Caenorhabditis elegans: one gene and its partner. The protein of the gene in region 2 purifies or fractionates together with the protein of the main gene of each other region. This does not show direct contact. Each region holds a gene or a part of one and is shown on either strand. Other genes may lie near its edges.

What was found.
Region 1: the proteins of sdc-1 (region 2) and dpy-27 fractionate together in Caenorhabditis elegans (co-fractionation; one large-scale study listed by BioGRID). This does not show direct contact.

The regions. Positions count from the first base shown.
Region 1 is NC_003281.10:3,813,503-3,821,492, forward strand, and holds dpy-27 (Chromosome condensation protein dpy-27), read right to left. Parts: upstream 6,178-7,990; 5' UTR 6,176-6,177; coding exon 5,750-6,175; intron 5,701-5,749; coding exon 5,599-5,700; intron 5,517-5,598; coding exon 5,158-5,516; intron 4,974-5,157; coding exon 4,218-4,973; intron 4,155-4,217; coding exon 3,917-4,154; intron 3,711-3,916; coding exon 3,502-3,710; intron 3,454-3,501; coding exon 3,003-3,453; intron 2,872-3,002; coding exon 2,434-2,871; intron 2,115-2,433; coding exon 1,837-2,114; intron 1,770-1,836; coding exon 1,421-1,769; intron 1,317-1,420; coding exon 776-1,316; intron 670-775; coding exon 407-669; 3' UTR 142-406; downstream 1-141. UniProt on the Caenorhabditis elegans protein: Central component of the condensin I-like dosage compensation complex that associates specifically with hermaphrodite X chromosomes to reduce their gene transcription throughout development.
Region 2 is NC_003284.9:16,273,865-16,281,807, forward strand, and holds the start of sdc-1 (C2H2-type domain-containing protein), read left to right. Parts: upstream 1-1,898; 5' UTR 1,899-1,908; coding exon 1,909-1,982; intron 1,983-2,143; coding exon 2,144-2,376; intron 2,377-2,819; coding exon 2,820-3,055; intron 3,056-3,096; coding exon 3,097-3,392; intron 3,393-3,445; coding exon 3,446-3,776; intron 3,777-4,002; coding exon 4,003-4,185; intron 4,186-4,373; coding exon 4,374-4,612; intron 4,613-4,769; coding exon 4,770-5,155; intron 5,156-5,287; coding exon 5,288-5,421; intron 5,422-6,163; coding exon 6,164-6,226; intron 6,227-6,324; coding exon 6,325-6,564; intron 6,565-6,792; coding exon 6,793-7,668; intron 7,669-7,943. UniProt on the Caenorhabditis elegans protein: Embryonic transcription factor regulating downstream genes involved specifically in the sex determination and dosage compensation pathways, or regulating other genes involved in the coordinate control of both processes.

The DNA of each region.
Region 1 (7,990 bases), on a different chromosome or scaffold from region 2:
TTTTTAGTCAAATTTTTAGCAGCTTTCGAAATTTTAGGAAATTTTCTTTGTTAGGAAATTATTTTTTGATGGCATTATTTTTTTTAGGAAAAACTTTGCAATGTAGTTCTAAAATAAAAATGAAATAATTATTTTTGTGAATCGTGAATCGAAAATTTACCTTGTCAGCGAATTAAGAAAATGAGATAGATTGGACAGTACGTGATGCAAAGATATAGGGGTTTCACAAAATATACAACAAAATGGAAATATATTAAAAAGGGAAATAATTAAAATCACAAGGAAAAATTAAGCTAGACGAATATTAAAAAATACAAGCTTGAAAGAAAGTTGGTCTCATTTTTTGGATTTTTCACAAAGTTTTCTTTTTTTTTTCAAAATTTAGTTTAAAATATATTACTTCAATTTAATGTCTGCTTCTTCGCACACGGCGTTGAACGACAATTGGTGGTGGAGATGGAGTTGCTTCTTCGATCAATTCATCCTCTTCATCTTCCTCTTCAACTTGACGACGCGGACGTCTTCTTACTGGCTCATCGTCTTCATCTGAATCCTCAACACTTAATTCACGACGAGTTGCGGGTGGGAATCTATTAAATTCAGGAAGATCACTGTCATCATCGAGACCAAAGTCCGAGAGTTTCAGCATTTCCAGCCGGCGTTGTTTACCTGAAAATTGGTATTTGTTGAGATGGGTTTAAGTTGGACTGGTTGCTACTTTGATTTGGTATTTTACAATTAAAGTGCAGTTGATATGTCACTAATTATTACTTACGTTTTGGTGCAATAACGACATTGCTGAGCCCATTACTCAAATCAATTTCCGGTTCAATCTCGGCACGTCGTAGCTTCTCGCGCCGTTTGATCTCCTCCTCGAAAATCTTCAAAATCGGACGATTCTTGATCTCCACCGCGATCGGATCCACCATAATGTTATAAGTTTTTCCATCGATTTTATAGATACCAAGCAAGCGATTTCCGACCTCGAACATTTGATTTCGAAGCGAAATTATGATAAATTGAGCGTTCCGTGTTCGCTCGGAATGCTTGATATAGTTTGCAATCAGGCTGACATTGTTCAAGTCCAGTGCCGCATCGATTTCATCCATCACGTAGAGGGGTGTTGGACGGTAGTGGTGCATTGCAAAGACAAAGCATAAAGAGGCCAGAGTCTTCTCTCCGCCAGATAGATTCTCGATGAGCTTCCAGGATTTCTTGGCGGGACGTACACTGAACTTTATTCCACCATCGAAGGGATCGGTAGATTTTCCTTCTTCCACAAACTTCAAACTAGCATCTCCGCCATTGGTGATAAGCTGTAAGCAAATAACTTGTTTCTTTTAATCTCATTTAAAGCAATGGGTCTGACAGAAAAAATGCTTCCTGTCAGCCTGGTAGCAGGCAAGTACCCCTTACTCACCTGGTAAAGCATTTGGGTAGTAGTACCCAAGAATGCGAGCGCCTCGCTGAACTCGTTGAATCTCGCCATTCTCAACTCGTTGAGCTTCTCACGATGAGCCTTCAGCTTATCGCTAAACTTCTTCGCTGACGTCACCTCGTTCATGAGAAGCGACACAATCATCGCATAATCCCGAACACCTTTATTATCAAATTCCCGCCGGAACTTGTCAACATCTTTTTCCAGCTTGCAAATCTTGTTAGCAGTGTCCTCGAAAACATCGTCCTCAAGCATTCTCGCTTCGTGCTCTTCGTAAGCTTCACGGTGAGGTTCGATCATACTGATGCATTCATATGGGAGTACAACGTGCCTAAAAACTCAGTGATTATAAATTTGAATTTGCACATGGAAAATCTCCCAAAGCTTCTGAAACGTACCCATCAGTCATTTTGGCCGCAATATCTGGATCATTATATCTGACAAATTTGCCAGGTGGATAGAGCTTTTCCGGTTGCATCCATGCAGATTCAATAATATCAAGTTCTGCATTATCCGCCATTGTCTTGTTTTCCAAGTCATCAATGATTCTCATCAGTTCATCATAAGTCTGTTTGACCATGTTGTAGTTGTCAACTGTGGTTTGATAGGCTGCATCTGCTTCTCGGCGTGCCGCAACCGCTTCAGTGTACCTGGCTCTTTGTGCATCAATGCTGGCCTGGAAGATTAAAAATTAGAAAATAGTAAAGCTTGAATTGGTAAATTCTGAATAGCTCGAAAATGGCGAACTTCATAAGGAGACTGCTTAAAAAAGCGCAAAAATTGTTTGAATAGTGGTTTAAAATTTTGAAAAAAAATCGAAAATGTTTACTAGAACTAAGGGAGCAAGGTTGGAAACACCAAGCTAAAGCCTAAGCCTAAAAAAAGCCTAAGTTGGAGCTCAAGCCAGAACCTAAGCCTGGACCTAAGCTTGAACTGAAGTCGAAGCCTAAACATAAGCCTAACCAGAATCCTAGTCCTATAGAAATTAAACATACCGTTGAAGTTTGCAATTGCGCATTGATAATATCAATTCCCTTTACATCCTCTCCAACTTCCAATTGAGCCAATGCATCTGCCTCGCTACGTTTCTCCAGACACATATGCTCCAGCTCACTAAGCTTCTTCTCGGCCTGCTCCAAATGTGATGGATTGTTCTCAATAATTGCAGTTTGTCGTGCAATGTCCTGCTCCAGCTGTCCCATTCGATCCTTCGCCTGCTCAATTGAGTCCTTATTTTTTTGGACCAACTCCATAAACATTCGGTCCATTTTCCGTTTGTATTGCTCAATTTGCTGCTTGATTTTTGCTGAAGACTTTTGGCTCTCCTCCACTTGACGTTTCAGATCTGCAATTTGAGCTCTCTTCTCGTCCAAATCCTCAACGGTCACTTCTCTATAGTTAACCATACGGCGCTCATGTGCTGCGATTGAGCTCTGGAAATAATTAAAAAATTAGAATGGAAATTTTGAATAAAATCTAGTTTTTTTTTCGATATATCCATTTTCAAGAAAATCGGAACAGCGAAAATTTCTGTGTTTCAGTAAGAGACGCAAAAATAAATCACCTTTAACTCGGCAATCCGTGTTTTCTGCTCCTTGGTGGACATAATCAATTCACGCTTACGAATCTCGAGCTGTTTGATAATCGGACCATTGTCGGCTCGGATCTCTTCTTGCTTTAACTGCAACTTCAAATGAGCTTCCAGTGCGTGATTGTGCTTCTCCTGTGCGGCTCTTAGCTTGCTCAAATCAACTTTTTTGACTCCACTCATGTTTGGATTATTATCATTTCGAATACGACCAGTCGTCGGTTTTCCACCACCAGTCAATGCTCCACTTCGGTTCAAAATTGAGCCATTCAGTGTGCAATAACGATGCCTTCCAGGATACTTCTTATCAATTCGAGTTGCTTCTTCAAGACTGTCAACAACCAGAATGTCATGGATCAAGAAATAGAATTCGCGGCGAATCTCAGGGTTTACACAGTGAATCTTATCGAAAAGTCGTTCGGCTGGGCTGAAAATAAGAATTAATTAGATTTGGCAACTAAAGGCAACTACCAACAATTTCATTGTAGAATCCATTCCGCTAGTATCAGTATCTTTCAAGTGATCCAAGAAGACAAACGTCGTACGAGGAAGTTTGTACTCGTGGCAGAAGCCAATTCCGATTCTACATTCATCGCTAGTTTGCACAACGTGGTAATCCAATTGTGCAAAGAACACTGTTGAAATTGCGGTGTCGAACTTGATTGGGATACTTGCCAAATCTCCCTGTAAGACAATTAATTTTAAATTGGTCCTCGAAAAAAAATCAATTCGAAATCAGACTAAACGTGTGGCTTCTGAATTTGAAAGATCCTATTTAAAATGTATTTCTCCCAGAAAAATCATACTTACATGGAACATCAGATTACCCCAGGATGCTCACAGCTAATCAAATTTCAAAGCAGGTACTCACTCCCAATCGAATAACTTACCAAGCGACCTTTGAAGCCCGGAAATAATCCAGCCTCTTTCAGTTCATGAAGCTTTGCGGTTGCCTGATGACGGTACGTAACTTCCTGGGTGTTCGATGCTTCAATCACTTCTTGATCCAGCTCATACTTCTTGCTTCTCAAAAGTTGTTCGGTAGACTTCAAATGCGGAAGCTTCTCGACAGCTTTGTCAAACTTCAGCTTTCTATCTTGCAGCTCAGTTGTGACGGCGTTTAGCTCACTGGAAGGATATGGGGAATTTTTAAAAGCTGGTTAAAATAAAATAAAATAAAATAAAACTTACGTATTATCTCTAATGTTCTCAGCCATCATTGTTTGCAATGTCCCTTTAAGCTCATCAACTCTCTTCTGTCCCTGCTCCATCATTATCGTCATATCCTTAAGTTCTGATTCAGAAACGTCCAATTCTGCTTTTGCTCGCATCGATTGCAGAAGCTCATCTGAGAGTTTTTTCTCCAGATCATCATGCTTCGCTCTGTCGGCACTAGACTTCTGATCATACTTGATGAGATTCTCTGTAGCTGTCCGCTGACACACATTCTCCTGCTCCTTGAGCTGATCCCATTCGAGTTGCATGTTTTGCTTAGAGATTCTCGCATTCTCTGGAGCCGTCTCAATTTCAAACTTCTCCCGACGAGCTTCATCCCGCTCCTTCATGAGCTTCCCAAGGTCCTGAGTACACGACTTGAGCCCCTGCTTTCTCTTAGCATCACGTGCATGCCAGTCATTCTTCTTCGATTGCCAATCGATTCTTTTATTCTCCAGCTCAGTGACAATACTATTAAGGCTTCTCTCGTGAGTCTCCTTCTTCCGAACTTCATCCTTTGCCTCAAGCATGATATCCTTGTTCTCTTCGAGTTCTCCTGTTCGAGTGACAAGACTCATTTTGGCGTCCCTCATTGTTTCAGCATAACGGCACAAATTGTGCTTGACACGGATTCCACGAAGGTAGTTGAGATTATTGAAGGTATTCAGGTAGGCCATCCCGATAACCATTGCCTTTTCAAAGACTTTTAGGTGTCCCTCGTGGCGGCGAACACTGGAAATGGAAAGAATTTTAATTTGAAATTTTTTTAAGTTTCAGAAAATTAATATATTTCAAGTTGAAACCGCAAAGTTTTTTTGTTTTTTCCTAGTTCAATTTGAATTTCCATGCTTTATATTTTTATGTGGTACATCCGTGCCAAAATTTGTGGTATTTAATAATATTAAAATGAACTTACGAGGCTCCATATTGTGAACTTTTGTGCTCCAATAGAGAAACCCGATGCATTAGTTTGGAAATTGGTGCGACAAAACGATTGGTTCCAACAATATCCTCAATATATTCAAGCATTCCTTCTTCATTCGGATTTTTGGATGTTGGCTTCATTAGTGCAATCGCTTCAACTTCTCCTTGCAGAATCAGGAATCGATTATGGGTCATATCAATTCCAGCACGTAGGAGAAGCTCCTGGACGTCTTTTTGCGATGCATCTTTGTCATCAATACGATATTTTGAATTGTTTTCACGATTTATTGTGCGGGTGATGCAGACGCAATTATCTGTTAACACTTCATATTTATCGTAATTTTCGACAGGCTGAAAATTAATTTTGATATTGATAGTTATTAGTTTGTTTTCAATCGTGTGGATCTCAGGCCCGCTTTAATAACCTACTTACCATATCCTTCACCATCTGGAACATAATTGTTACTGAACATGATTCGTAGTTCCCTCCTGAATTGATCAATGCTGATAGCTTCTTGGTACGAATTTTTCCAGCCTGAAACAATGTATATTGTGGAATAAAAATTTCAATTTAAAAAACTCACTTTAAATCCAAACACGAATAGCAATGCATCAATAACGTTTGACTTTCCACTTCCATTTGGTCCCAGGATCATTGTCAAGTTCTTGTGAAACGGTCCGAGAATATGTTTTCCAGCATAACTTTTAAAGTTCTCAACGTAGATATTCAGAATTATCATTCGATTTCCATCCGGATCCGAGATCTGATCTTCATATTTTGGGGGAATTTGAACATTCAAAAGATCCTCTTTTTCATCATATTTCACACCGTTTTCAGCCGCTTCAAGTTCCAACATATACGCGCCTGAACTAACATCATCGAATATGTTGAGCTGTTCCATGTACTGTCGTCGGCGATCCACGTCGAGATCGACTTCAGGCATCGAGTCGGTGTCAGCATATGGTCTATCATCGTCCGAGGTTAGCGCCCGTCTTTTAAACGGCTGCATACCTGAAAAAAGGAATTAATTTTGATAAATATTAAAAGGGAGAGGGAGAGTAAGAGGTGCATAATTTTGCCAAAAAGGCAAAGCTTTGGAAATGTTTTGACAACTGGCAAACTTTCGACCCCTTCCAATCAAATTTTTTTGGTAATTATCAACTGACAAAATTTCTTTGAATGCCAATTGCCAACATTACCTAATCAAAAAATTTTGAAATATATATTTCATATTTAAAATTGAATCACACAGTTTACAAATTGATAACATTGAAAAAAGTCATCTAGAAATTTATTAATGTTATAGTATATTATATAGTTATCAGTATGATTTCACCTCAAATATTGAAAACTAAATTTTTAATGTTGGGGAAAAATTCAAATCGATAATTCAAACGAATTTTTTTTCCGGACTTTAGGAAAATCAGGGCACAGATAACATTGGAAACTATATATAAGTTTGTTAATTTTTTTAAGATTTAAGATTATGAAAGCTGCGCTAATTAATTTATTTGTCAAATTCAAAAAAAAAGTTAAGAAACGGTCACACACGAGCACACACCCATTTCATTGCGCGCGCGCAAGCGTATGTCTGTGTCTGTGTGTGCGAGCTGTTACTACTGCTGACCGAGTGTGGGGTTAGAGGCAGACGACGAAAGAGAACGAAGGTGAAAGTGGAAAAGAGCATGGAGAACGTGGAGACTGAGAGAAATGACAGACTCCGACTGCGGTCAAGACGATTCGGGTGAGAGAAAGAATAGTGGAATAAGAGACGGAGAGAATCCATAGCAATGGGTGGGTGGGTGATGAGCGGAATATTGTTGCGAAGAAGGTTGGGTGTACCAGACTAAGGAGCTGGAGAGATAAAGATTCTAATTATTTGAAAATTTGGCAAACGTTTCCCATTACTAGATGTACAAATCGATATGCTACAGATAGTCGATCAACGATCACGCTTTGGGAAAAGTATACGAGTTTTCAGCTGAAGAGGTCCCCAAAAAACCGAGAGGTTTTTATATGTATAATATTGAAAAAAAATCACTAGATTTTATTGATAAGAAGTAGTTTAACACGATGAGTGAAACTTGAAATTTTATATTAGATATGTATGTGAATCCAGATGGAAGCATGAAGGAAATGAGCCAAAAATTTTGTCAATTTATGTGTCTGTACGATCTCTATTGAACTTCGTCTATAATAGAACAAGTAGTTAAAGTCCTGATAGGCATTACTGTCTGCGATTACCCGTGTCTTGCTCCGTCAAATCCATTGCACCAGTTGATCCGGGCATCCTTAATGAAGAAGAGAATAGAAGAGAATTGAAGTCAGAAGACAAAAGTATAAAACTGACTAGTTTTAACAAGGTGTGAGAAACAAGAGACGGATGATTATTTTGTACTTCTCAGGTCGCCTAGGTAACAAGCACACTGGTACGGGCTGGCACGACTCCATCTTGTGATGGGTAGAAGAGGTGTGTGAGAGAAGAATATGAGCTGATCTCCTCTGTTGAGATGATAGATAAGCTTATAATTTGAGCAGTTAGTTGCGTGTAATTGAGGATTTCGTTTTTGATGTTGCAGCCAACAACGGGTCTTCTAATGGTGGGAAATGAGAGATCAAACAACGGATGGTCTTGTGAGCAAGAACATCTGCCAACATACGGTTCAGATGAGCATATTACAGAGTCACAAACCATGTAAACTTCTAGAAAGTCTGCAATCGAAAAAATGGAGGGGAACTGTAGAAGAAGAAACAGGGGTATAATTTGATGTAAAACGGATTTGGATGTAAAACGAAATTTTCAATTCCGACAAAATGGCGGTTT
Region 2 (7,943 bases):
TAATAAAATTAATTCTGTCTTCAAAAATAAAATGATTCTGCTGTTCAAGAAATACGAATACCCCCGTTCCTTAACACCGATTTTCATCAAATTCCCATTTTTAAACGGTTCGTCCGCGAAAGTGACTTGGTCGGTTTTCAAATATTTTCACTTTTTTATGTCCCCATGAATAGATCTTTAAGGTTTAACCGAAAAAATTGAGTTACTGGCAGCCAATTGCAAAATTTACCTCAAACCGAGGTAATTAAACCGACTCGAGTGGTGCGCTGACTGCTTTTGCGTGCAAAGCATACTGGCCCACGCTAGCCCAAATTTTGTCGGCAGCACATTTCGCATATATCCGCACTCTCACATCTTATTTTTTAAGTAATAAGGGTACTAATATGCTCTTACGTAGTGAATGGAGATTTCCTTTTGTACATAATTATGCACTGCTCCCCACTACTAAATTTTGGATGGCTCATCAAGAGATGGGCCAAAAATAATTTCAAACTCACTGAAAGTGTCTTTTCTCTATTGAGGAACACAGTATGTTGTTATTAATAAATTTGCTCACATTCTCCGAAATAAATGTGAATTTGTTTGCTTCTGTTCTTCGAAATAAAGATCAATATATAATGAGTGCTTATCACCTCCGTTGTTGTCTAGTGGTTAGGATTTATGGCTCTCACCCATAAGGCCGGGGTTCGATTCCCCGCAACAAATTTTGTATGGCTAATCGAGGGCCAAAAATAACTTCCGATTAACTGAAAGTGTCTCTTTAGGATTTGTAAAATTTTAATGTGAGTTTTTCGAAATTCAAAAGAGAACAATTTTCTAAATCAGTTGAAGGAGGACTAACGGTTCGGACAATTTTGAACGTATAGACTCAAAATGAGCTCAAATAAACGAATTTCGTAATGAAGCTTCTCAAAAAAAATTCCAAAATTTTGAACCGCCATAAAAAAGTTTTGAAAATTTTTTGAGCAGTTTCATTACAAAACTCGTTCATTTGAGCTTATTTTGGGTCCATACGTTCAAAATCATCCGAACCGTTAGTCCTCCTTTAAGGACATATCTCTATTTTAAAATTATTTATCATGTTTCTCATTAAAATCAATATGTTTTTGGGAAAAGTTCAATTTTTAAAGTCACCGAAAAATGAAAACGAACATAATTTTGGAGCCACATATGATATATGGGTCTTCGAAAAACTTTCTGTTTTAGAGTTCCTATTTTTGAACAAGAACCCATTTTGAGGTACACAGTATGCTGTAAATGTTAATTTTGCTTACATTCTCCGAAATAGATGTGAATTTGTTTTCTTCTGTTTTTTGAAATAAAAATCAATATATAATTACCGCTATATGACCGCCATAAATAGTTTTGTAAAATCATTAATAAAAATTTCATTACCAAATTTGTTCCTTTCAACAAGTATTGATTTTATACGTTCAGAATACCCCGAGATTTCCCGTTAGTCATTGTTTCATTTATTCCAGAGTTGACCTGATTGAACGCACGCAACGCACTTTTTCTCTCTCGCCACACTTTGGAAGTGAGAGACGCAGCAAGAGATGTCTTCTCTGCCGTGCAGTGTTGTCGTGAAAAGGACGACAGAAAAAAGAGTGTGTGGAGGTGAGAGGGTGGGAGGGGTGTGAGACGGTTGTCCGTAAACACTCGCGCAAAAACGCGGGAAAATTTTTCTGGAGGAGGCCGTGCTGCACAGGTAAAAACCTTTTTAATTCGATCAAAACAATTTTATAAATTTGTTCGATTGGATTTTTCACGGAGATTTTTCCGCGGTGCTTTTATTTTTTTTTTGATTTGCTGTTATTGTTTGAACTGACTTCTAAATTTTGATCTCTTTTACTTTTCGATTCTATTTCCCTTAAATGACAATTATAACTTTGGAACATTTTCAGCAGTATGTCGGATGAAGAAGATATAGATGAAAGCTTTGAAATCGAAGAGGACGGAATTTCAATCACAGATGCCAGAGGGTAAGTTGTTGTTGTTTTTTTTTTTTTTTTTTTTATTTCCTTGGTGGCTTGTCCCAATGTCCAGTAGGAAAAAAGGACATGTATCATTATAAAACTGTTTAAAAATTTTCACATTTCCAAAGCTTTCCAAGCCCTAATTAATCCAACAAATTCTTGTTTAGAAACAGTCTGAAAGCGCAACAAATTGCTGGTAAAGAACGAAATTTGGATCCAGAAGCCGATGATTTGGAGGTAGTCGTCAATTTCTACGAAGCAGGCGACGGAACATTCCAACTACAACTGCCCAAACTAACAGCTGTGAAACCAGTGGATAAAGTCAATGATGTACTGGACTTTATCAATTTTGACAAGAAAGTATGCGATGGAATCCATTCATCAATCAAATTAGTTTCACGTAAGTTTAACTGCATGGTAACTAGAATTAATTCGTATTGTTGGTTGCGGGACAGTAGTAGATTTTTGCCAAAACCAAAAATTAATTTAACCGGGTTGAAACATTTTTGAAAAATATTTTTACAAAGTTTCCAGATGTTGAGAATTGAAAAATTTACCTACGATTTTTTTTTCACAAAACCTACGATTTAAAATAATTTTTTTTAAAGCTATTTGGAGTTAGGGTGTCTCATTTCAGTGTGATCTACTTAAATCTACACACAATGCGGGAGTTGAAACGCAGAGTTCTCAACCAATTTTGCATAGTTAAGAACGTGTTGACGTCACACTTTTTGGACAAAAAATTCCCGTATTTTTTTTAGATCAAACCGTGATGGGGCAGCTTGACACTACGTGTATACATAAAATCCATTATTGGGCCTTACTTTACTATATAATTTTCAGAACGAGATCAGACGGGACCAGCACCGTTTCCGAAGCATAAGCTGACGTGCGCCCATTGCGACTGGTCGTTCGACAATGTGATGAAGCTTGTCCGTCACCGAGGTGTTCACAAGAATGTGGGAGTCTACATGTGTCAAGTGTGCCTCACACTGTTTGGACACACCTATAATCTGTTTATGCATTGGCGGACATCGTGTAGCCAGACATCGACAACTGCCACGGATATCGAGATACAAGTAAGCACAAGTTGGTATTTTGAAACTAATGAATCCCCAAGCTCCAGAAAGCAGAAACGCCGTACCTTCATCGCAATGTGCTCAATGTTTTGGGCTCACTGAACCGAGCGTCGCAATACTACTGCACTGGTGGTTATGTATTTCTGCCGTCGGATTGGTGCATCACAAATAAGGAAATTGTTATGGAAAAGGATCATATGTCGTCGTGTCATTTATGTCACCTGCCTGTACCAAATAAATTTCTCGAAGCTCACGGAAATGTGCATCGGGGGCGATTTCGAATCGATGGACGTATCTACGGCGACTACTTTTGTCATATTTGTGGAACAGTTTTCATGTAGGTTTTTCGACATTTTTTTTCAAAAAATTGAAAGAACACTGAAATTTCAGAGAACAAGATAATCTATTCAAGCATTGGCGTTTGCATTGTGAAGAGGTTATTGCCTACACACCAGTCGACCAATATCTATCAAATACGGAGCTCGCCACACTCGCTTGGCTCGTCCTTCAAACGACAATCTCACAAGCCGATATTGAATGCTTGAGGGTCAGCTCGTCGCTGATCACTGAAAAATTGGCAAAAGAGCACGCGGAGAGACACGGAATCGCCAATAGTATGCACAAGTATTATCACTTTCCACAGGAGATTTGGCCCCTCAAAACGTTTGTCAATTTGGATTTGGTTAATGATGCGATTCCGATTTCAGGAGAAAATTCATTTGTGAGCACTTTTTTTCCATTTTACTTTGAGATTTGTATTATTTTCTAGCAAAACATTATTGGCGGGTCGTTTTAGAACCTATTTTGGAGGCAGGTAGGCACGTTTTCAGGGCCTACCGAAAATAGCAGATTCTGAGCTACGTTGTACATACCTACTTGCCTACTTTCCTTTCTGCCTACCAAAATTTTTATATTTTTTTTCACTGAAATTCAATCTTTTTTTTCAGAAGATAAAAGATCCCAAACGCCCAGTGCACATAATGAACTTGCTCGCTACGGCGTGTCCGGGCTTTTACGCAACAGGAAAGACGTTCAACATGATTTGCAGTACGAAAAAATCGGAATCAGACACGAAAAAGGTGTATCGCGTCATATTGAGATATACGACAGAGGGATCCGTTATTCAATCGGTAATTTGATTTGTGCTTTTTTTCGAAAAATTTTTTTCAGATTTTTCAGCACTTTTAGCTAGACGTTTGGGTATTAGCCAGTTTTAAGAAACTTAGCAATGATCAAACTTTTAATTCAAAATTTTGAATAATGAGAAATTTATTGGAAAGCTTTATGATAATCCAAATTCACTTTTTTTTTCTTCCAGTACGATTTCACGGCTCGCTCATTCCCCAAACTCCGCGTGGACTCGGAAACGCCAGAAGGTGTTTTTAGCCATCCGCTGGCCGATTTCAATGTGGAATCGAACGAGGCGATCGTGTGTCACAAGTGTGATAGTAAAAAGTTGACAATCACGTTCTCGACGGAAGTACGGTTGAAGTATCATCTGCTTCGACATTCGGAGTCACGAAAAGACGGTTATCATTGTGCGATTTGCAAGATTATGTGAGTTTGTATTGAATAAAACAATGTTGATTAGTTTGAGAGTGAGAATTGGATTTTAAAAATCTTCACAATTTTTCTTTATTTTTTGACCACTTCCGAATTGGCTAAGTAATTCCAACAGACGGTAAACGTTTGCATAAATGAAAGTTAATTTCAGAGTATACAATCGTAGTCATGAGGAGCACTGGATCAATGATTGTATTCCGCTCCAGAAATTGTATAGAGATCAAAAGGACCGAGAGTGCTTCGACGCAGAATTTGCTGCAAAATGTGCGAGCATCATAAAAAAGCTCAGAATACGAACATTGATTCGATGGAAGGAACGAGCGAACGAGGACTGGGTGGAGACGAAGCAGACGCCTGATCGTATCGGAGAAGATTTTGCTATAAAATTCCAAGTTGGTACCACTGCTCTGAAGACGCTGATGGCCGGGCTCGAGGAGCATTATAAAAATGCTCAGGCTAGACATGAGGCGTATAAGTACAGCGAGGAAAACTTTTTGCCGCCACTTTCGACGCCGGTCGTTGTATGCTTTCATTGTGGTAAGTGGCTCACCGTAATAGGAATGAAGAAAAATACAAAAAAAAGTTATTCGATCTTTTTTGTGAAAATCTGAAAGTTTAATTCTCTTCCTCTCTCTCTTTTTTAGTTTCTCCTCAAAACACCTTTTTCAGGCACCCGCTGTCATTATACGCTACTTCACGACCACCTTGATTATTGCCACTATTGGCCGCGTAACAAACGATTAGTCAATGAAGAATTTCATAAATGGAAGAAGAACGGCTGTCGAAATACGTGGCGAGTTATGGTAAGGGAGATTATTTGTGTTCTAGATATTATTAATTTTAATGAATTTAATGAAAATGATTGAAAACAATTTTTTAAAGTGGTGGGAGAAAGGTGTATGCATTTTTTTGGTTTTGCCACAGCTTTTAATTTTTCAATTATGTGCATATGTTTGAAGGCGGTTAATATTCAAAACAGGGGTGGGCGGCAATTGCCGTTCTGCAAATTGATTTGCCGACAAATTCTGCAAATCGGCAAATTACCGGTTTTCCGATTTGCCGGAAATTTTTAATTCCGGCGATTTTCCAGTTTGCCGATTTGCAGGAAATTCTTATTTTTGCCAAATTGCCGGTTTGCCGTTTGCCGGATATCAGATTTGCCGGAAATGTTTAGAGGGATTTTTCATAAGACGGAAACACTTAAAACTGTCTTTTCGAAAATTTTTCCGTTTTTTCTATACATTTTCATAGAATTTGCTTACTTTTCAAAATAAATGTAAGAAGATCATAGGATGCGTTTAATTTTGCCATTTGAAATTGAAATTCTGAAATTTCCGAAAGAATAAGTGCGAAACCACAGTTTGCCAAAATTTTTTCGCAAATTCGACAAATCGGCAATTTGCCGATTTGCCGACGTGCCGGAAGTTTCAATTCCGGCAATTTTCCGGCGTGCCGATTTGCCGGAAAAAATTGTTTGCCGCACACCCCTGATTCAAAAGCTTAGCTCTTTTTTTGGTTAACAAACTTAAATATATATTTTTTCAGAAAAGTGTAGCTGAAGCAATGCAAATTGAAGTGCCGTTCATATCTGAGGAGCAATACTCAAAGGTACAGTTTTTGGGGAATAATTTATCAGTATAATGAACAGAAAATAAAAAAAATAGCAAAAAATTCTGAGGTTCATATTTTTCAATGATCATTTCCAGATACTCGACTACCACACCTACTTTTGCAACGACACACGCTACAAGGTTCAGGACTCAATCAACAATTGGAACGATTGCTCAACAATTCGAGACGTTGATTTGTCCGAAAAACTTTCAGTTGCTGAAATTGTGCAAAAGGGCGAGGACTCAGTGATGGCTCCAGAACCTGATATAATCAAAAATGTTTACTTTCCGTCTGCTCGTATTATTACAGATAATATGCTGTTGCGAATGACAGAGGTATAGAATTTTTTGATCATTTTTTAAAATAGTTTTTTTTAGATAGACGATACGATTTTAAATATTTTTCTAGTAACAATTGGTAAATTCTGAGATTATAGCGGAATTAAACCTTTTTTTTTAAATTTCCTAAGAAACTTTTTAAGAAGGCACACTATGAAATTTACCTATTTGGTGCCTATCTGAGTAAAATGAAACCAAAAAAATATATACATATACACATTTCAGATAAACTTGAATGATGTCGTGCAGCGAGACCCAATCACCAAAGAGGAACTAACGGGAAAATTCAAGGAAGTTCAAGACGAGCAAGACGCGATTCTGTTTGGTGACTACCGTGCTGTTTTGCGATCGAAGGGTATTATGGTCAATTCGATTTCGGATTTTGTTGCTCCTCCAGATGAGCTTGCGAAAGCAAAAGCATCCCAGGAGTCTGCTGGTCAAGAAAGTGTGGATCATAGGAATCGAAGGGAACGAGAATTTATTCAACAGTATATGGGTAAAGATCTGGCACTCGAGGCGGCCGCCCGCGAAAATGGGAGACTCGTCGAGGTTGACGAAGAGGCGGAAGATTATGAACTGACTCCGAAGGAGCTCAACGCTCGAAGACTCGTCGAACGGAATCGTCACCGAGAGATGTGCAAAACGAGGTGTGAGCATGGCGAGTATGACTATGAAAAGTTCAAGGCGAGGCAAGTGCCCATTAATCCGGCAAAAATGAAGGAGCGGAAATATCTGACTCGTGTGGTACACGAGAGCGGCCCGGATGATGATGTGTGCCCAGATGAGCCGGAGAATAACATCATCGCGTTCTCACCAAAATATGAAAATTCGCTCAGCGACTTTCGCATAAGTGCAATTGGTTTCCGCGAAAAGTATTTGGCGGACGATAAAAAGAAGAGAAATGGAATTCCGATTCGAAAAATGACTGAGGCTCAGAAAGGTGTTGCGCTAGACTACGATACGTTGATGGCGCGACACGGAGGTCGTCCCGACGTGATAATGAACCCGGCCGGAACTGTTTTTGTGGGAGGATTTGTGTTCGATCGGAAACCGACGTGCCAGGATAACATGCAGACTGTTTATGTTCTTCGTAATGGCTATGTGAGTTTGAAAAGTTTAAGTAATGTTGATTTTGTTCCCCGGTTTTTTGAGACAAAATTTGACTGTCACGAGGGACAGGCAGAGAAGTATAATAGAGAAGTGAAGAAAAGCGGAATATTGAGCCTCGATATAAGACAGTCCCTCCTAACCACGTGGTGTCAGACTGCTCCGTTGCGGTTTGACCTACAAAAAATGCGGGAACGTTTTGCCCAAAAAATGTGACGTCAGCACGTTCTGAACCATGCGAGATCAGTTGAGCCCAACTGTGCTTCTCT